Drosophila melanogaster: one gene and its partners. The gene in region 1 interacts genetically with each later gene. Each region holds a gene or a part of one and is shown in the gene's direction. Other genes may lie near its edges.

Region 1 (4,625 bases):
ATGAGCTCATGAATCGCATTCGGAACGAGCTTACAGCTATATTATCTCAAGAGTAAGTTATCAAGTTACCCAATATATATATATATATATAAAAGAAGAAAAAAATCAATCCATTTATAATCCTACAACAGGGCTGCTGATGATTCCGACAAGGAGGCGTCACAGGAACTGCTCCTGAGTCCCAATCCGCTGCCCATTTTCGGGCCCATAAGGAAAACAAGGAAAGCAAAATCGAGGAGTTCCAAGAAGAACAATAGTAAGGCCTCCTCCTCGTCCGCTGGCAGTACAAAGAGTTCGTCGTCGGGTACCAGATCATCTGAAGATCGTTTAACTGGAGGTGGAGCCCAGGAGAAGCCATCGGATCCGGTCTCCACATCCTCGAGCTATTCGCTAAGATCAGGATATGACGCTCCGCCCGTGGAGGCCAGTGCCCGTGCCGACTTCCTTGAATCGCAAGCGGCCAAAAGCATCGACGAAGATGTCCGGAAGATGCAGCTGGAGCTCAAGCAGAGCTACGAACTCTTCCAGGGCATTGGCGAGAAATTGGAGTCGGTTAGCTTCACGGGCTTGAAGGACCGCATACGGGACCTGCACCTAAACGAATCCAACAACGAGTTGGGCAAAGCGACGACTGCAGAGCTTCAGATGATGTTCGACCAGCGTTTCCTGCAAAATCGCCTGGACAAGCTATCCACGGACGCCACGCAGGGATTCCGTCGGCATCCCGGCGAATTCGGCGACATACCCGAGCTGAGCACCTTCTTCCAGGCATGCACTCAGTTGGAACGCGGACTGGATGCACTGCGTCAGCAGCGGCGGCGCAACAGCGAGCTGGAGAAGCGTCTGTGCTGGGCCACCGAAATCGCATACGATCGCATGGACGAGATTCGCAATGCGGTTGGCTCGGATCCGGAAAAGAACTTCTGAATTGGTGACCTGTAGTTACATTTTTGGTTCACCCTAAGGTTCATTACCCGCACACAAACACACACACAGGCAAACACGCACAGGTGCAATACATATGCGTTTATCCCACACCCATAGGCGATGCAATAATTGATTGTGTTATCTTCTGGGCCGCAGCTGGGTTGTTACTCACCCGAGTCCGTGTACCAGCTGCCTGCATGGGTTGCTCTTCTGGCCGACATTTTGTGCGAGATCCCTAATCGGTCTGTTTAGTTAGTAAGAGCTATTAACTGGCCGTTACTTGTAGAAAAAACGAGTTCTTTGTTATTGGTACAGCAGTGTGACCGTCGTCTTGTTTTTGAAATAAACACGTTCTCTGGATTCGCTGATCAGCGGTCACACTTCTTCAGGGCTGCATTAAGTACTTAAATATCGTTTTTTTTTTGGTATAATCATATATACCATTAATACTTTTTTATTATTCTAAATAATAAATCACACAAATAAAATACAATACATAAGGTAACGTAATTTTATTTAAGTGTTGTTTTTTATTAATTTCCATAAATGAAATCGCATAACATATACAACTGAAACTCACGGAAGTCGAAAGTCGGAATTCTGCAATACCAACATTTCAAACTATACCATAATTCTTGCAGTTTGCCTGCGCGCACCGAGGTATTTTCGAACGACCCGTGTGCGGTCACACTGTTCGCATAGCGTCATTGCTGTACTAAAACCTAAAAATCCGCCGTGTTCGTATTCCGCCATTTTGAAAGCTGCGAGTGGAATTTGGACGCGTTGCTGGTAAATTAATTGTGGGAAAACTGCCCAAAAAGTGCATAAAATTTGTGAAAAGTGGTCGGCAACGGTGCATGAGACCCGCCGCCAAGTGTTTGTCCCCGAAAATTGTGTGTGGCCGCGTTTTTGGCACGTGAATTTCTTGCCCAATTGTGAACTCGCAAAAAAAGAAAAAGAAAAGAGAGAAGAAAACCGACGCCGCCGTCGCCGCCGCCACAAAGGAATAGGCGAATAAGCGAGAGAAAAAAAGGCGAAAACGAGAGCTGAAAATCAAATTGTGCGCCGCTGATTGCGTTTCAGCTATTTAATAATACCACAATCGAAAATCCGCGGCAGCGGCGATTTTTCCACGGATTACTACACCATATATTTCCCATTTGCCTTTCCGTTTGCAACGAGTGTGCGCCTGTGCCTGTGTGCGTGCGTGTGTGTGAGTGTGCGATAAACGTGTACAAGAAAAATTTAAACGTGCAGAATTCTGATGAATTTTAAAGCGGAACTGCTATTGCCTGTATAGGTGATGCGGGTGTGCGTGTGTGGGTACGCACACACACATGACCAAGTATTGTTGCGGTTTAATGCAAAAGTCGAGTGAGTGCGTGTGTGAGTGAGTGAGAGAGAGAGAGAGAGAGCAATGCCTGCCATATTCTATGCAAAACATAAATAAAATTGTGCAATAATTTCCCCGCACACGCACACAGCCACAGATACATACACTCTCTTTGTAATTTATATTTTTTTCCGCCCGCCTAGTGACAATACACACGCAAGGTTCACTGCGCAACGTCCCCCTTTTCTCAAGCACCCCCCTTTTGCCCACGCCACTGCAACATGCTGTCTCATCGTTGTTGTTTTGCCGCCGCCACATTTGGTGCGACAGAGAGAGAAAGAGCGAGCTAGCGCGAGTGCAAGAGAAAGGGTGGGAGGGAGAGGCCAAAAGCAACGAGTTTGAAAACCAACTAAAGCCTCATGTTGACACATTTCAACCGGGAGTTTTCGTTCTTTCGCTCGGATTAAAAGCCTTTAAAGGGTGAAAGTGCTGCTTATCGTTTCTTCTTCGCGAACTAAAGCTTTAAAAGTATAAATAGCTTTTATTTCCTGCGCCCGCATATTGATTGCAAATTACAAGCGCACACACTTACTCAACAACCGTTGCGATTGTTTGTTTGTGTGTGTTTATGCCGATTTGAATACACAACCAAGTGAAAAAGTTTGATCAACTTACGAATGTCCATTCAAATTGATGCTTGTTTCTAGTTTTCTTACAATTTTTGCGCTTGTCGTGTTTTTGTCATAGCTTCTTCTATCTCTATCGCTCTCTCTCTTCTCTCTTGTTCGTTCGCCCTTTCACTGTTCGACGTGCCTGTACCCATCACACACATACAAACGTATACGTCATACACACACACACACGCACACATGAAGAGGCAGACAGACAAGCAACTCTGGGCTCCCCCCTCCCTAAACCTCTCCCCTCCCAGCCACATACTGCCGCACTTGCAACGGGAATGTTGTTGGTATTGCTCGCAGTGCTCAAAACTCCGAAGAGGATTACAAATGGTGTTTTTGTTTTTGCCCAAAAACGGAAATACAGACAAACTTCTGCCACATAAAGAGTTCAAATTATAGCGACTGTTAGTTGTTTAGTCATTTGTTGTATTCCCCGCAACTTTTTGCGCACTTTTGGGGTATCTAGACTGATTACAAACCCTTAAAAGCAGCAGGCACAATTGAAATTATTGATTGCCTTAAAGTTAAAGTTAATTGCGGTTATGAAATTTTTGGCTAATTGTTCGTCATTGGGCAAAAATGAAATGCTGAGGAATTTGCTTTATAAAAACACTTAAATTTATAGTTATTAGCCACTGAATTTGTATTGCAGTCGTTAAGAATTCTTCCTACCCAATGTAGTTTTCGCTATAGAATAAATAGAAATATGGAAATATGTGGCAGAGAGAGCCGCTTTTCCCGTTTCCACTTCAATATTTGCATTGCCATGGAATTTTCTATATATATAGTCCATCGATAACTGTACATGTTGCTGAATTTGTTGTTACTAGTTTTTTTGGCGCAACAACGTTTTCCGCTTCTTGTCACTGCCCTTTTTTGGCAAATAATAAATTTGATTGTGTATGGGCTGCCCACTCCCACTAGCTAACGGTTATTTATTGTCAATGCCAGGCGATGCCGCCCACTGCCACGCCTCGTACGACCCCCCCCCCCAATCCGTTTGATGCTCTGTGTTTTTGCGCAATGTTTGTTGTTGTGTGTTTGCCGCCGACTGCGCGCGTGAAAAAATGCACACCTGCCCAAAGAATTTCACACTTGGTGGTGCACGGGGCGCAAAACAAAGCGAAAGCAGCCACCAAAATAGCAGGCAAACGTTTAAATTTAAACACAAAAGTCCGAGGAACTAAAATTCGACCAGAAACACAATGGCAGCCATGTGTGCCTCATATTCTTGTATTTTTTTTCTGCGCTCTATCTCTATCGATCTGAAAGGCAAATACAACGCAATTCGGTTGATGGTACAGGCTCTAATACCCTTAAAGCTAAATTGTCCAAGTTATAAATTTGTTGAAAATGAATGATAGTTTACAAATTCGGATGTCTTTCATCTATTCAGCGGTGGAAAGATGTATTTTGGCCAGCTAATCGTTGCATGTTTGATGGCAAACCTTTCGCCATATCTGCTATACTCCTGCGCAAGCACTTTTCAAATGAAAACAGAAAACACACACTTTCAGATGGCTCAGCCAAATTCGTCCAAAACAACAGATGCAGCGATATGGCAACAATAATAAATAGAAATAGCCAAGCAGCCGCAAAACGCAGAATCAGCAATTCGTAAGCGTGCGAGGCAATAATATATACATATATATATATATATAAATTGTATTTCATTTGATTTTTTC
Region 2 (4,689 bases), on another chromosome or scaffold:
AGAATTCGCAGCGCAATATTCGGCAGCAGTCTCCAAGTGCCTCGATCAACACTCCTGGCCAGGTTACTGGTAACAGTCCATTTAATCCCCAGGAGGAGGCATTATACCGCGAGAAATACAAGCAGCTGACCAAGTACATTGAGCCACTGAAGCGGATGCTTGCCAAGATCAGTAACGACGGAACCAGTAAGTAGATAATACCCTCACGTTTCGTTTTTTTCGCAGCTATTGCATTTTTAAATCGTTTGCTGATTACTGAAATGCTGTAAATGCTATAAACCGCGTCAAATAATATAATTTAAGAATTATATAATCGTTTTTGCGAGGCCAAATGCAAGGACTAACTAACCAAAAACAAAAGTTTAATGCAAACTTACTCGGGTTTATATATTTCCTAGTAGTTATATTCTCGAAGTATATGTTATCGTAAAACTAATATTATATCTTCTTTAATAGATGTGGAGAAGATGACAAAGATGAGCAAGTTGTTGGAGATTCTCTGCAATCCTACACAGCGCGTGCCGCTGGAGACTCTACTTAAGTGTGAAAAAGCGCTTGAGAAGATGGATCTCATCTCCTATTCCGGCCAGCAGTTTGGTGTAAGTATATCTACATCCAACGGGCCAATTTATTATATTCTTCGTTATACCTAGAAATCCTCAAATCCATTGCTGGAGGTTATAAATACAACGCTGCAAAGTCCTGTAGCAAATCACACATTGTATCGCACATTCCGACCCACTTTGGAGCTGCTCTTTGGTACGGATATAACAGCTCCAGTGCCCGCAAAGCGACCTCGGGTGGAAGAAAAGTCCACGTCTTTTGAGCAGGAAGTGCCACATGTGCTTCAAGGGGAAATTGCTAGGCTCGATACCAAGTTTAAAGTGAAATTGGACACCACGTCACAGATCAACAACAAGGCCATTCGCTTGATTTGTTGCCTGGATGACAAAAGGTTGCCTAGTGTTCCGCCCGTAAGTGTGAGTGTGCCGGAGGAATATCCGTGGCAGGCTCCGGACTGCTCCTTGGCGGAACAGGAGTATTCAGCCACCCCCTTCCTGCAGACGGTGCAACAAGCTCTCATTGCCCGCATCTCGAAGTTGCCCAAGAACTACTCGCTCTCACATTTGTTGGACACCTGGGAGATGGCCGTGCGACAGGCGTGTTCCCCGCAATCGAAACCCAGAGCAGTCTGTGAACTTTCCACTTTGCTGGGAGTTTAGCCCAACTATTTGGTTAAATTCAACTATAACATTAAATCTTAAGCTAAAAGTGCGTACGCTGCAAAAAAATTACTATTTATTTTAAAATCTTTCTAATTTCTGTTTTGTTCTAGATATATTTTTATATTTGTTGGAAGTTTTACCTAACTATCCGGCCTAATCAACTATAAACATTTTTTCTATTTACGCTGGGCAAAAAGTGTGGAAAGTTTAGTAAGTTTATATCTTGTTTAATTTTAAATCAATGGATATTGAAAATTTTAATTTCATTTTAGATTCCCAAAATGCCCCTCTGTTTTGGGTAAATACATTTTAACATATAAGACAAATGGCTTTTATAGCTAAAATAAAATAAAACCAATTATTTCAAAGAATATTGAGCTGCACCGCATTGAAACATCCTTCTATATACACAACACACTCATCCACTCATCAAGCAAAAAACATTCCACACTCAAGACTTAGTTCAATACCAAAATGGGGCTACATACTTTGCAAATTGTTTCAGTCGGATGAGATTTTTAAAAAGGTAAGCATAAACAATTTGGAATAGGGCTTGTCATTCTAAAAAAAAATTAAGTCACCGCAATAGACTTCTGCCCAATTACGCTTCCCTCCCAATTCATAGAATAACTTTAGTTTTCTTTGGAAAATATGTATATTTTCATTTGTTGAGATTGGAATCGTGCGATGATCCATTATTCTATTTGTTTTCATTTTCTTTTTTTCACATTTAGCAATAAATACAATTGTGTGTGTTTTAGCTTAAGAGAATTACACTGACAACTATGGTACAATAGAAAAGAGTTAAGAAAACTTAAATATCACAGATGTTGGACGCCGAATGCGTCTCTTTATAGTATGTACAAACACTAGGGATATTCAGAATATTAATCTGAAGAAGATCGCTTAGATAAGAAGTGTGCTGTGTGCTCCTGGAAAGAAGTGGCATCTATCCGATTTGGGTATTACGTATTGAATTTGAAGTTGATATATGCACAAAACGGTGACAAGATCTAGCTCCTAACTAAGCTTAAGTCTACACCAGCTACATGAGAGCGAGAAGGCATTTCGAATTTGACTCAGATGTTAATTTGTTTTGAAATTTGGTGGGAATTCATCTCTGTTTAGCTGGCGATACTGTGGGGCTGAGATTGGTTCTGATGCTGCTCGCATTGCTCTTCTCATCGCTGCACTTGAAGCAGGGTTCCGCCGAAGGTGAAACTGCTGGCCTGCTGCTGTAGCCTCAGCAGATCTTGGGCGCTGTAGACTTGCAAGCTGGCGGAACTGATGGGCGAGGAACTAGCGCTGGAGCCCGCCGGTGCTATCGCTCGCAAATGGAGCGAGGCATCGCAGAGGGAAGCCGCTACCGAAGCTGATGTGTTGTTGTTGGCCAGGGAGACATGTCGATTCACTCCGTTCGCCTTGTCCTTGTTGTGCCGTTTGACGTGCTTCGACAGGTGATCGCTTCTCATGAATTTCTTCTGGCAGACGCTGCACTGGAATTTCTTTTCACCGGTGTGGGTCCGTTTGTGTCGGGACAACTCATCGGAACGGGAGAATCGTTTGTCACAGTTCTCCCACTTGCAGATAAAGGGTCGCTCGCCGGTGTGAACCCTCTGGTGGGCCTTCAGATGACTGCTTTTGAAGTAATTCTTGCCGCAATCGGGAAAACTGCACTCGTAGATGCGACTTCTGGTGGCCGCCGCCTGGGCGGCCGTAATTCTGGTTGTTAGTTTCTCCTCGGACATTGTTGGCGTTTTGGGTACGGGTGTGGGGCTCTGTTGGGCGGCCACTGTGCTGAGCAGGATAAGTTGGCTGGCAGACGAAGCTACTGGGCTAACATATATCGGTGTCAGAATAGGTTTTATTTCCTCCTCCTTGATGCATTCCGCTGGAGCAGGTGGCGTTACAAGCTTCGCAACTGGTGTCTCGGGTGTTTGTACTGGGGGTAGTGCCACTTCTGCAGCACGCTTTCTGTTCATTTTGAACTTGAGATTGCGCCACACATTGGCCTCTGGATAGTCGTCCTCCACAGTGGGTGGTACTGAACTTGTACTTGTGTTTGTGTTGGAAGAGGAACTACAGCAGGAGGTGGAACTAGATGAGTTCTCGTCTTGGCTACTAGAAGAGACAGCGCCAGAACTGTTGACCCGCATGATGACGCTAACCCTTTCCGCTTTCTGATCATCGTCCAGCTTTTGATCCGGCGGCGGTGTCATGCTCATAGCAGGTTGTTCCAAACGGGGTTTCTTGTTGGGAACCGCTATTTCGGGAGCCTCGTCTTCCGTGTCCGATGGATTTGGTGTAATAATCCCTCCATTTTTCTGACTCTTTTGGGCCACCAGCTTGAGCTTTGCCTTTAGCAGATTCTCGTTCACCTGTTGTTCGTCCTTGGCGACCTGGAAAAGGAAAGAACAAGTTCAGGGTTAGTCAGAGTTCGTTAACATTGTCGAGTTTATGTTCTGAGGAGTGCATTCACATTCACAGTCCCATTCACTTTTCGCTGACCAGCATTGACCCACAATAACTTTTCCTCGCAATTCGCTAATTACGCCGGCGGCTGACAAGGCCGTTCACCGTTAACCTTCACACACCCTGCAATACCCCGCCCAACCCCAGGTTCAATGCTCCTTCGAAAGGCCAAGGGAACTTTGTTTTTGGCGGTTTTTGAACTCTTTTAAAGGCCGTTTGGGGTGACAGAATATTACTCATTAACTGTTGCTGCCAGCTGTGCTTTAAATTATAGACGTATGTAAATGTTAAAGGTGAATACTGTATTGATGACCACATAAAAGTCTTTAAATTGATGTGCTCCTGACAGAAACAAAAAATGTCTTAAAATTTTAAAAACTGTTCTTAATATGGACTTTTCAAATTTCACTACTTAATTTTTAAGGATGAAAACATGAGCAACTGTTGCGTTTTCGGCGCATATTCTAGAACCATTTAAAAATTGCGCCTAAAAGCATGCAAGGAAAATGCAGCCACACCACCAGTATTATTATGACGTGCCTCAGGTGGGTGATTTCATGGGGAAGGCGAATGCGAGGGGTGTATTATGACTCGTGCGAAGACGTCGAAATCTTTTTATGGGCTCGGCACGTTGCGCTCTAATGTGCGACAGTGTTTGTTTGTTTCTTTCTTGGCCAGATAAAAAACGAGCCAGAAATGTGACATGGTTTTATGGGTTGGGGCTTGGCCTGTTTGCCTAGCTTTTGGCTAGGCCCTCTCTTTCCTCTCACACTCCACCGCTCGCCTACAGTTGCCAATTGGCAACTCACCTTCTCTCTTTTGCTTTTCTGTTGTTTTTTCCTAGTGGTGCCAAGTCCAATGTTCAGCTGCGGCCTCTCGCTCGCACTCACACATCACTCGCTGTGCATGCGGTGTTCACGTGAAAGCGTGTTGGCTGCGTGATCGCATGGCTGTGTGCGAGTGCGAGCGGGACGAGGCACTTTGTTTTTAG
Region 3 (7,272 bases), about 19 Mb from region 1:
TCAAACTGCTTGCCAAATTCCTGTTGCAAATGTTAATGGATAATGAATGACTAAGAGATCAATTATACTCAATACCTCAGCCTCCTCCAGTCGCCCCTTGCAAATCAGCTTCTTAAAACGATCACTGGGGTCGGTCTCGGAAACGAGCATCATCTCCACCACGGAGGGTATGCTGCTCTGGTTGACTTCCTTGGCAGCCAGATAATACAGATTGACCGCACACTTAGGCTGACGCACAAGCCATGCGTGATCAGGAACTTCTACCTCGTTCTTCACATTGAGCGCTGCAATGACACAAGGTTTTTAGCCTTACTGTATGTTTATGTTTTATGTTTGCTGGACTCATACTTGGGTACTCCACTATCTTAATGAAGCGTCCCTCCGCCGTTGATTTCGTCAGCACCAGAAGCTCAATGTTATCTTCGCTGCACTCCATAACCAGCAGATCCTCGATGAGCAGATTTTTTTGTTGGGTAGTTTGACACATGTACACTGTGCGAGTGTATGGACAAATCTCCACCAAGTGGCCGGAATCGGTGAGTGCGATACTGCAAAACCCAGATACACGTTAGAGGGATTCTAGCACCACAATAAGCAAACCCACTCACATATAGTGTTCCAAGTTGAAGATCTGCTTTAGGCTGCCGTACTGAGCGGGCAAATTTATTCGTGTCACGTCATTGGCTGCATTCCTAAAGTTCATAGTGCTTTGATCTCCAGTGATAACTAGACCGGGTTGCGCCTCCAGATCATCCTGATTGTTCTCGGCACTGATGTTGCCGGTCAGCAGCCGCTTGAGCAGCACTGCACAGTCCACGCTGCACGAGGATCTGCCCTTGGAAAGACGTTGAATGGTGACGTCCTCGAGCAGGGCCTTTTCGCAAGCTATAGTTTCGTTTTCATTCAGGCTCATATTGCCTAACGTTTCCAAGCAGGTCTCATCAATGTCGCTTAAGCTACACAGCGTTTGAATCGTTTAATGAAATAATGTCAAGATCCAGTTTTATCACGCATATGCCAGAGCCCATCTCTGTGAATGGCTTACCTATAGATGCTTCCATTCTTACAGGTGAAGTAAAACCGCTGATCCAGTTGATGGATGCTCCGGAAGGTCCCGCCAGTTAGGCTCACGTCCTCCAGATTGACGGCCACGCTGAACAGGAGCAGGCCCTTGATGAACACTCCGTGAACTTCGCCATCGCTGAGGCCGCATACAATCAGGTTGCCGCTTGAAGAAATGGCAATGGCCTCAATGGCTGCCCCGAATGCCAGAAAGCTGCACTTGGCCACCAGTTCGTCCTCCAGGAGCAAAAGGCTCTTGTCGATGCCAATGACCATCTTGCCGCACTGCACGGAGGCCATGACATCTGGATATTTGTTTACCTGACAATGAAAGAAGGCGAGCGTAGAAACCCAACTGCAGATTCTGCACAATAAGGACTCACTTCCTCTTCACTGCTTATTTGGAAGATGCCTCGCGACGAAAATATGTTGGAGATGGTTTCGTCCTCCAGGGAGGACGCCTCGAAGTTGCTCCACATTGCTGTTCAATCCGCTCTAGCCTAATGTGCAAAACCTGCCAATTTTAAACTCTTTATTTAAACACCGCCAATAAACAAGCGTCGCCTGAGAGTTTGCCGATAACATTACCCGCATATCGATAGACGATTGGCGGCATGAAGACACACTACGTATTGACCTTGGGGCTAATACGTTTACGCAATTTATATTTATTACTTAAATGACGTATGTCCAAATCGTAATTTCTCCTTTAAACCTATTACTTTTTAAATGTTAACGTAGTTGCAAACTACTTCGTGCTGGCTTGCTTTGGCCACACTGAGCCGCCGACGGAATTCCGGCATTTCTCTTGACGTGCGCAAACGGTCACACTGGCGGACTTGCAATGAAAATTATTTATATTTCGCTTCTTCGCACGCAAAAATTGGTCAAAATAAACAAAGGTTAATGTGCTGCTGCTATATAACGGTTCAGTGGTCAGTCCGCCGGACCGCCGAATCCGCGTAACGGTAATCCGTGCGTGTGCCGCTCCTATAAACGGCGCTAATTAAAAGTGGATGCTGCAGTGGCCATCAAATCAACAAAAAGCCAACCGAAAACGCAGGCTTCACAAATCGCGTAAACCCTAACACAATTTCCTTGGGAAATAACCGCCGGTTGTTTTGTTTTCCGATTAAAGACAAACGCAAAAAGAACCCGTAAATAAACAACAGTTAAGCGCTGCACTGCAATTAAAACGGAACGGGAAGCGCAGCGGAGGACATAAAATCGCTGGCAAGAAGAAGAGCGCTGCCAGAAAGCGCCCTTTGAAGGGTTTATGAAGGGGAATTAGTGGCAAACCGCAGTGCAGAGTGCTAAAAAAACGAACTCCTGACCTGAAGTGATCAAGGATCAGTAAGAAACTGAGAAGCGGCAGGTGCTTGGCGCTTTGAAACGAGACAACACGACGCTGGGTTTCCAGGGTAGAGTTGCCAACCCGAAAAATAAGCGGGGTTGCCGTTCGTTGCGCCGAAAGTGTTTACCTGCGTTTTGGGAGTCAGTTGCTTTAAAAACGCGATTTTCATAAGGGTCCTGGCCAGGAGATGTCTTGGTGAGTAGTTGAGGAGGACTGACCCACAGGATGCCAGATACTCATTTGGCACCCTTCACACTCCCAGGAACTCAAACTCCAGGCGGTCGCAGGCCGGATAACCGGCAGAAAGCCCAAGCCCACCAAGCATAACCCATTGTAGTTGGTCACCGAAGGATCCAGTGGATTTGTGCCCACCTCCCTAGGGACATCAGAACCAAACCCACTCCTTTACCAGCGTCGAGATCTCCTGCGCGGGATTGGCGACGCCGCTACAACCGAATTTCTTGCCCCACGCCGTTGAAGAAAAGCTGCCACCATTCGGAAGAAGAACACCTCGAATATGACCCACAATCTTGGTATGGCGCCATATCGATTGCCGGGTCCAGCGGGCGGACTCTGTCCGCCCGATTTTAAGCCGCCGCCTCCCACGGACATCATCTCGGCGCCGAGCAATCCGAAGAAGCGGCGAAAAACCTCAAGTGCCGCCAACTCCGCTGCAGCGGTGGCTGCGGCGGCGGCTGCAGCAGCTGCTGCGAATTCCATGCAGCAGCAGCAGGCGCCACCCACACCGCAGGATTTGCTGCCCCCTCCGCCAATGGGAGGCTTCGGAGACACCATTATTGCCTCGAATCCATTCGACGACAGTCCCCAGGTGTCGGCGATGTCCAGCTCAGCGGCCGCGGCGATGGCGGCCATGAATCAGATGGGCGGCGGACCAGGAGGTGGTCACTTTGGCGGCGGTGGACCGGGTGGGCACCCGCACTGGGAAGACCGCATGGGCATGGGCGGTGGACCTCCTCCCCCGCCTCACATGCATCCCCATATGCACCCGCATCATCCAGGCGGACCTATGGGTCACCCACATGGCCCACATCCGCACATGGGTGGTCCACCTCCAATGCGAGGAATGAGCCCCATGCACCCCCATCAAATGGGACCGGGACCAGGCGTCGGACTACCGCCGCATATGAATCACGGAAGGCCAGGGGGACCTGGTGGTCCTGGAGGACCCGTCCCAATGGGTAGTCCCATGGGTGGAATAGCTGGCATGGGCGGCATGAGCCCAATGGGCGGAATGGGAGGCCCCAGCATATCACCCCATCACATGGGCATGGGTGGTCTGTCGCCCATGGGAGGCGGTCCCAACGGACCCAATCCGCGAGCCATGCAGGGTTCACCGATGGGCGGTCCGGGGCAGAACTCGCCAATGAACTCACTGCCTATGGGTTCGCCAATGGGCAATCCAATTGGCAGCCCGTTGGGCCCTCCCTCGGGACCGGGCCCTGGGAATCCCGGCAATACCGGCGGACCACAGCAGCAACAACAACAACCTCCGCAGCCACCGATGAACAACGGGCAGATGGGTCCTCCTCCTCTGCACAGTCCGCTCGGAAACGGACCAACGGGTCATGGCAGTCACATGCCTGGAGGACCAATCCCAGGACCAGGTCCTGGGCCTGGCGGCCTAGTAGGTCCCGGTGGCATCTCCCCCGCGCACGGCAATAACCCGGGTGGTTCTGGGAACAACATGCTCGGCGGGAATCCCGGCGGCGGCAACAGCAACAACAACGGAAGCAATACAAGTAACGCCAGCAACAACAATCAAAATCCTCACCTCTCGCCAGCAGCCGGACGCCTGGGAGTGCCGACGTCGATGCAGTCGAATGGACCTTCGGTATCATCGGTAGCCTCCTCATCGGTTCCCTCGCCCGCCACGCCCACGCTCACGCCCACATCGACGGCCACGTCCATGTCCACGTCAGTGCCTACATCCTCGCCAGCGCCGCCCGCCATGTCACCGCATCACTCGCTAAACAGCGCCGGCCCGAGTCCGGGCATGCCCAACTCGGGACCCAGCCCGCTGCAGTCACCAGCCGGACCCAATGGCCCCAATAACAACAACAGCAATAACAACAACGGACCCATGATGGGCCAGATGATCCCGAACGCAGTTCCTATGCAGCACCAGCAGCACATGGGCGGCGGCCCACCTGGCCACGGGCCCGGACCAATGCCCGGAATGGGCATGAACCAAATGCTGCCACCGCAGCAACCCTCCCATCTTGGTCCCCCGCATCCGAATATGATGAACCACCCGCATCATCCGCACCATCATCCTGGCGGACCACCGCCGCACATGATGGGTGGACCCGGAATGCACGGCGGTCCTGCTGGAATGCCTCCTCATATGGGCGGAGGACCTAATCCGCACATGATGGGCGGTCCGCACGGGAACGCGGGTCCGCACATGGGCCACGGCCACATGGGTGGAGTACCAGGTCCAGGACCCGGACCCGGCGGCATGAACGGACCCCCGCATCCGCACATGTCCCCGCACCACGGACATCCGCATCACCACCACAATCCGATGGGCGGCCCAGGTCCAAATATGTTCGGCGGTGGTGGAGGAGGTCCCATGGGTCCCGGTGGACCGATGGGCAACATGGGGCCCATGGGAGGTGGCCCGATGGGCGGCCCTATGGGCGTAGGTCCCAAGCCGATGACAATGGGCGGCGGGAAGATGTACCCGCCGGGACAGCCAATGGTCTTTAATCCGCAGAACCCGAATGCGCCGCCCATATATCCTTGTGGCATGTGCCACAAGGAGGTGAACGACAACGACGAAGCCGTGTTCTGTGAATCCGGTTGTAACTTTTTCTTTCACAGGTAGGTCGACCAGTTTACAATAGATTAAAAAGGTCAAATAGAAAATATTATATAAATATCTAGGAACAATATTTAGTCCATATCATCATATTTTAAACTGCTTATATCCTGATAATTATCTTTTCGGAACAAAATGTTTAGGAAAGTTTATTGGAATCTCATGAGCAATTAGTCTTATCACTTCTAGTTCAAAGTTAACAGGGGATTACCCTTCAATTAATACATAAAATCAGTCAGGTGTTTTCGTTTATTCATGTTCGTCGTCGACTAACTCCACTATCATTTTTGCAGAACCTGTGTTGGCCTGACAGAGGCGGCCTTCCAAATGCTCAACAAGGAGGTGTTTGCCGAGTGGTGCTGCGACAAGTGCGTGTCTTCCAAGCATATTCCCATGGTCAAGTTCAAGTGTTGAAGCGGATCGGATTTGAAATCAGCAAAACACATCGATCAACCACCAGCGAAAGCGAGAGCAAAGCAAAAGCAACAGCACCAGCTACCCAACCACTCACTGTATAAAATATCCAAGCATTAACTCTATCTTAATTGTAAGACTTAAGCTGCTCAATAGTCAAGACCGCGACCGATCCAGAGACCCACCAGTCCCCATCCCGGCAGCTAAGCCCCGTAGCCAGAATGCGAACCACTAAAGTGCCGGAGCAGTGTTGTGAATTTGAGCTCCGGGCTTCCTGGCCAACTCGCGGCGTGCTCCTGAAACAAATAAGCAAGGCAAACCTTAACGAAAAGTGTAAACGAAATATGTTAATTGTAATATAATTGTAATTTGTGTGTGAGCGTCTGCATGTGAAGCGATCGAAGAGGACAACGTCGCAACAAGAAGACGGAATGAAAGCTGAGAAGCACTCTAGTTTGTATTATAAAAGAAAATGGATAAATCTGAAGAGCAGGCCAGGCGGGATGATGGTGCACATCTCCAATCGAATACCACTCGCCTGGCGAGAAATCCGCATGAAACACAACAGACAACCAACCACTCGTAACTATATAAACATATATCTAATGACATATTCAACACATTTGGAGATGAGTATAGGAGTTGTAACGAAATGAAATTATCATTGTGAAATTGCTGCGAACTGCATGAGTGTGTTATTTGTTATTACGAATCTATATTATTTTTATACTTGTGTGCGTTTACATTTTAAATATTTAATACGGAAGAGCGTTTCGAACGATTGATGGAACTGCATCGTCGATACATTTTACACAAAAATATTCAGCATAGTCGGAATCGGAGAATGTATAATAAGGAATCGATTGCGAACAAAAGCACAAGAAATTATGAATTCATGTGAGAAAGGTTAATTTGTAATTTAAGACGAATGTGGAGGACGCAGCGAACATAAACGATTCAAACGAGAAAAGAAATTTGTAAAAATAGGAAAACAAGAAGTACTCTAGGCTACTGCAACTATAAGTTATTTATAATTAAATAAAATACCATATAAAATAAAGTAAGTTCTAGTTATGAAGCAATTTCTCTTTGGAGGTGCGGTTTCCACGAGCTTGCAATCATTAAAATCATTTCAATGTCCTACTTTAAAAGCACCTGCCAAATAAACGCCTTCAGGTCGGGTTGCATTGCATATACATGTATTTTTAATATTTTGTTTCCATACTTAAGCTAAATGCACAGGCTAAATGGGGATAATAAACATATGCGATGCACACCGAAGGCTGCATCGCCACACAAACTTTTCGGAAATGGCCAGTAGCAATACTCAATGTTGCACATGCCGGATTGTGGACAGGGCTCTAAGATTATTACAGAGACAGTCGCTTAAAGGTACAAATTATATTTTGATTAGGCGTAACTTTCTGTTTCGTAGTTTCGTAGGGAGTTCAGATTACGTTCACAGCACGCAGGAACCAAAGGAGGTTCCTGCATGGCTCGCTGTCTTATCCAATGGCCGCCGTTATCAGCTCCGCCACGTCCTGGTCCGTGCTGCGCACCGTCAGATTGAGCGTGACGCCTTCTGAAAGCGCCAGCTTGG
Region 4 (4,554 bases), on another chromosome or scaffold:
TTGTTTGAGCAGGGAAAAAGGGCAACCATAAGGAAGAGTGAGGGGAAAAAGTGGAGAAAGTCGAGGAAATCAGCCCGGCACACTTTGCCTTTTCTGCCGCAGGCTAAAAGTCGTCGTCGCTTTCAATTATAGCCGTGAGTTTTCTCTGTCCGGCCAACACACACACACACACACACTTCCATACACACCTATACAGTTGGCAGGAAGCCATAAACACACACACACGCACTTAAGCGGCAGGGCAGTCTACACCCACACACAGCCATTAGCCTAATGTGTGTGCTTATTGCGCACGCTTTGGAACAGACGCAGGTTGAATTTTGGGGGAAAATTCAAGAGAGGTGGGAAATTCAAGGCGGGTGGTGGTTGTGAAAAAGCCCACTGAGCTAACGAAGCCACAATCCCCAAACCAAAAGCCGAGTCCCCCTCGAAAACCAAAACGAAATGGATGCTAAGGATAAGGCAACCGCAACTTGCCACTTTGTCTTCTCGTGGGGGAGAAGGGGGTGGGGGGTGGCAAATCAGAAGAGGGGGCCGTGGGTGGTGTCTGGTCTGGGCCAACCGCAAACAAACAAACAGAAGAGCGCAACAGAGACAGAGACACTAGCGGCAGCCAGAAAAAGAGAGCAACACCATCTCTGTATCTGTATCTGGTTCTGTATCTGTATCTACAGCTGCATCGGAGTCTGCTCTGCCTCCATTTCGGTATATAGATATGCAGAGATATATAAAGCGCAGTCTACATGTAGTCGAGTGCATAATGAATGCGAAGATGTGCCCGCCCTATTATCCTGACTCCTCCCTCAACTCGAGCTGGCTGTCTGTGTATCTCAAAGATACATAGCCGTATTCTGATAGGAAAAATCGAGGGGTAAATAAGGCCATCGCACTCTCTCTCTCTTGCTCATTCTCTGTCCCTGTCTCGTTGATGGCCATCTCCCTCTGTTATCCTTTCTGTGGCCACTGGCACTAAGGATTCGAATCAGAATCACCAAGTTTCAGATAATAATAATGACTGCAAACTGACACAGATTTCAAGGGGCGAGAAAGAGAGCTGTTCTCGCCGCGAAAGAGAAGGAGGAACAGAATCCGAGAGAGAGAGAGTGTGTGAGCGCAGGCTGGAGATACATATATAAACGCACTGTTAAAGATACAGATGCTGCACTCTCTCTCTCTTTCTCTCTCCCTCTCTCCACCGATGTTGCTCTCCAGTTTCATCCCCTATCCTTTTGGTTATGCTTTACGAAAGATAGCCAGGACATCAGGGCGATCCTCTGGGAGATGGGATGAGATTTTCGGTTGGGAGAGAGGAGCGGAAACAACCACCATGGCGAATGGATAGCCAACCAGCCAACCGGCCCGAAAAATTCCCATTCAAACCGAGAATCCGAGTCCGGCAATCCGAGAATCCGAGAATCCTCATCGCCTCCAGACAATTCAGTTTCAGTTCGTTGCTGAGCGTGCTGGCAATCGGAATCGGAAAATCACACTCGCTTTTCGCTGCCGCCGTTTGCACTCTCGGTCGCCGTCGACGTCGACGTCGCTGCCACACAATTCTGTTTCTGCTTGTTTCTTTGCATTTATATTTTTTGCGTTATCGCCGCTTCTTTTCCTGGCTGGCTGGCTGGCAGCAGTCTTGCGAAGACAACCGGCAGATAGAGACGACACCCATCAAATAAATAAATATCCGTTAAAATCGTAGCAATATCGGTACCTACATAAAGCAACATCAAGCATACGCAGTGTTGGCCGCGCAGAAAATGTCACATCGCGTGTTATGAAAATATTTGCCAGCGATCTGTTTATTGTGATAATTACAAGTAACGTTTGAAAGCGGAATCATGCTGTTCGATCGATATGTCATATCAGGTTGGTTCCACGCCGTGTTAATAAACAAAAGTTGGTATCTCGCACTGCGGCTTACAGGGAATCGCAGTTCCCTGAACTGAATCAGTTACTTTGAAAACAGTTTACAACGGCCCTAACTTAAACAGAAGCCAAGTGAATCAGTTTGAACAAATCCACCCATTAGTTGATCGATTGTTTTTTAGCCCTAAAACATCAATGACAAAAATTGTGACAAATCAAGTGCTTAAAATAAGTGGTGTCGTGGTTTTATCTCCTATTGTCTTGGCCCTAATTAAAACATTCGTTTATAAATAAACTACGAATTTTTTTAGACTTACAGGAAATTGAAGGCTTGCCATTCAAATATAATTTGAACAAATTATATCAACCCAGCTAAAATACTTATTGCCTGTTAATAAATTGGCATATACCATTGAAAATAATTGAAGTAGTGAAAAAAATTAGGCGAAAACATTTTTTAAGAGCTCTATATCTCGGGCCACAAAAAACATCTTTTAATCTAGTTTCCTTACTAAACTTGCCGCAACTTTTAATGACCAAACTAAAACCGAAGTAAGCCCTAAGTAAACCCATTAAAATCGATCCCCACTTATCAAGCCCCCACACACTGGCAATCAAGCGTTTATGGCCAGTTTTATCAGCAGACCAAACCCAAATGTGATTACCTAAAACACAAATTAGCCGAAGGTCCCGTTGAAAAAACACTTGCGCTTGGGTAAAAGCGAAAACTAAAGAAAACCAGAGTGATTAACAATTGGGTTGTCAAATAGAGCCGAGGATAAACGCGAGATGAGTGGTTGCGAGGGCGGTCTTTGAAGTGTAGGCCACTTCAAAAAGATTTCGCTAAATGGTGTGAAGCCGTCGGGGTTCGCGATCGAAGTGCCAGGATACTGTGCAAACAGAGTGTGCCGCAGGATGTGCGAAATGCAGCAGGTTGTTTCGGGTCGAGAACTCCAAACGTAGTTTGCTTTGTGTTTGGCCATTGTTTGCGAGCCATTGGTTTGCGGTCTACTTATATGGCCGATACTTATCTGTTTCGGGGTAATGTTACTGTTACTCCGTAGTTACTGTTACCATTCGTATGCTCGTTATCTTCGAAGCGCTGTCATATTTTGTCTAACAGCTCAAATTACGATTTAGTTTCAAGTGTTCGAACAAGGCGGATGGACAAGACAAGAAACCAAACAGCAAACAACAACTAGTAGTTGCTCAAATATCAATAATCGCCGGGTAATTTGTCCGTGTATACTTATGTTCCGAGCCCACCGATTATCGGTATCTTAAAGAAGTGGGTGCTATTTTTTTCAAATGACACCATGGGAATGCACTCACAATGTCATCACCACCCATCTGAAATAGTGCAAAATATTATGGGAGTTCTAAGGGTAAAAATCAAATTACCCCTGATTCTACTGTCACTAAGCTGACTCATCAAGTCGTCTAGTGAAGTTTATTTTATCTATTCAATCGGCAAAAGTCAATCCAGTCACATCAATTAAATGTGAAGATAAGCAGCAAATCTAAGCAACTTAAGTCGGAATTATTGTGTCAACAAAATAGTTTAAATATTTCCCGTCGATATTTATCCAGTTTTTATTTGCTCAGCCTGCTTGGATTAGACAGGAAAACAGACGAGGTAACTGATACGCCCTGTCTGTGGAAAGGGTAGAGACACCTGTCTTGCCGGGAAGATAGGAGCCACATAGAGTGGGCAGTGATAGACGGTCCCAGCCGTGCATTGCAAAATCCCCAAAGACACCTTTATATATAAAACCGGGCAACGATTGTCATCTCGACGTGAAGAGTCATTGGCTTTATCTATTTTATTTTGGGAGTGAATTGACAGCCAACAACTGATTAGGATTAGTGCTTTGAGTGCTTGCCAGCGGTCGGAAAAGTCATTTCTAATCGCTGTCTATTTCTTATCCGCTTCGATTGTTAACAGGCTCCGGAGGCGACGACTTCGATCCAAGTGCAAGTGTAGCGCGCCACCATCATCACCTCCATCACCTGGATCTGAGTGCCAGGAGTCAGGGCTTCAATCCACTGTCTGAACAAATCGAGGATTCATTCGCCGCCCGCCATCACTTACCGCAGCAGGAGCCCGTGGAAGGATCTCCGCCGAGGCGGGATCATCTTGATATACAGGATCAGGAGCTACTTCACCATCCCAATCATTTCCACCAGCAGAACCAGCGACAACAGCCACCGCCTCCCACGTTGCCGCTGTCCGTGGAATCCTCCTCCGCCGCAGCCGCCTCCGTCGACGGCATGGATGCCTTCTTCAAGGACCGCGCCCAGGCGGAGCACATCCTGCAGGAGTGGGTGCGTAGGCGCGAACCAGTCTGTGAGCTGGACATCCGTGATAGTGGTGGCGTCTACGCCAAGACGCCGCTCCAGAGGGGCACTCGCTACGGACCCTTTCCCATGAAGCTCAGCCACCAACCCAACGATCCTCAGCTGGCCTGGAAGGTAAGTAGTTTTGACAATCCTTGAAAAAGAGATAAATAATTTTTTAAGTTCTGAGAAGTAAATATAACTGTGGGGAAGGAGTAGAAAATACATTGAATATTTAGAATCGAACGATAGATAGAAAACTTGTAGTCTAAAGTTGATTGTTGGATCTGATATTTTGTAATGCTTTGCATAACTTATTAAACTACTTTCTAACGATGATTTAAATAT

The links.
Region 2: of CtBP (region 1) and ush, changing one suppresses a phenotype caused by changing the other (phenotypic suppression), as found in Drosophila melanogaster (one study listed by BioGRID).
Region 3: of CtBP (region 1) and pygo, changing one suppresses a phenotype caused by changing the other (phenotypic suppression), as found in Drosophila melanogaster (one study listed by BioGRID).
Region 4: of CtBP (region 1) and ham, changing one suppresses a phenotype caused by changing the other (phenotypic suppression), as found in Drosophila melanogaster (one study listed by BioGRID).

The regions. Positions count from the first base shown.
Region 1 is NT_033777.3:13,010,033-13,014,657, forward strand, and holds the start of CtBP (C-terminal binding protein), read left to right. Parts: upstream 1-1,616; 5' UTR 1,617-1,716; exon of another isoform or gene 1,717-2,140; intron 2,141-4,625. Other genes in the region: CG8031 (uncharacterized protein), read right to left, coding at 1,100-1,148; CG11656 (uncharacterized protein), read left to right, coding at 1-52, 132-927. UniProt on the Drosophila melanogaster protein: Corepressor targeting diverse transcription regulators. Hairy-interacting protein required for embryonic segmentation and hairy-mediated transcriptional repression.
Region 2 is NT_033779.5:474,580-479,268, forward strand, and holds the start of ush (u-shaped), read left to right. Parts: upstream 1-1,640; 5' UTR 1,641-1,752; intron 1,753-1,866; exon of another isoform or gene 1,867-2,407; coding exon of another isoform or gene 2,408-3,625; exon of another isoform or gene 3,626-4,689. Other genes in the region: MED15 (mediator complex subunit 15), read left to right, coding at 1-186, 457-599, 654-1,223; cbt (cabut), read right to left, coding at 2,408-3,625. UniProt on the Drosophila melanogaster protein: Transcription regulator that modulates expression mediated by transcription factors of the GATA family such as pnr and srp. Represses transcription of proneural achaete-scute complex (AS-C), which is usually activated by pnr.
Region 3 is NT_033777.3:31,575,292-31,582,563, reverse strand, and holds pygo (pygopus), read left to right. Parts: upstream 1-1,864; 5' UTR 1,865-2,611; intron 2,612-2,678; 5' UTR 2,679-2,933; coding exon 2,934-5,260; intron 5,261-5,551; coding exon 5,552-5,672; 3' UTR 5,673-6,729; downstream 6,730-7,272. Other genes in the region: rod (rough deal), read right to left, coding at 1-20, 76-284, 349-548, 609-956, 1,046-1,383, 1,446-1,541; gammaCOP (coat protein (coatomer) gamma), read right to left, coding at 7,178-7,272. UniProt on the Drosophila melanogaster protein: Involved in signal transduction through the Wnt pathway.
Region 4 is NT_033779.5:18,779,592-18,784,145, reverse strand, and holds the start of ham (hamlet), read left to right. Parts: upstream 1-1,545; 5' UTR 1,546-1,841; coding exon 1,842-1,869; intron 1,870-3,814; coding exon 3,815-4,341; intron 4,342-4,554.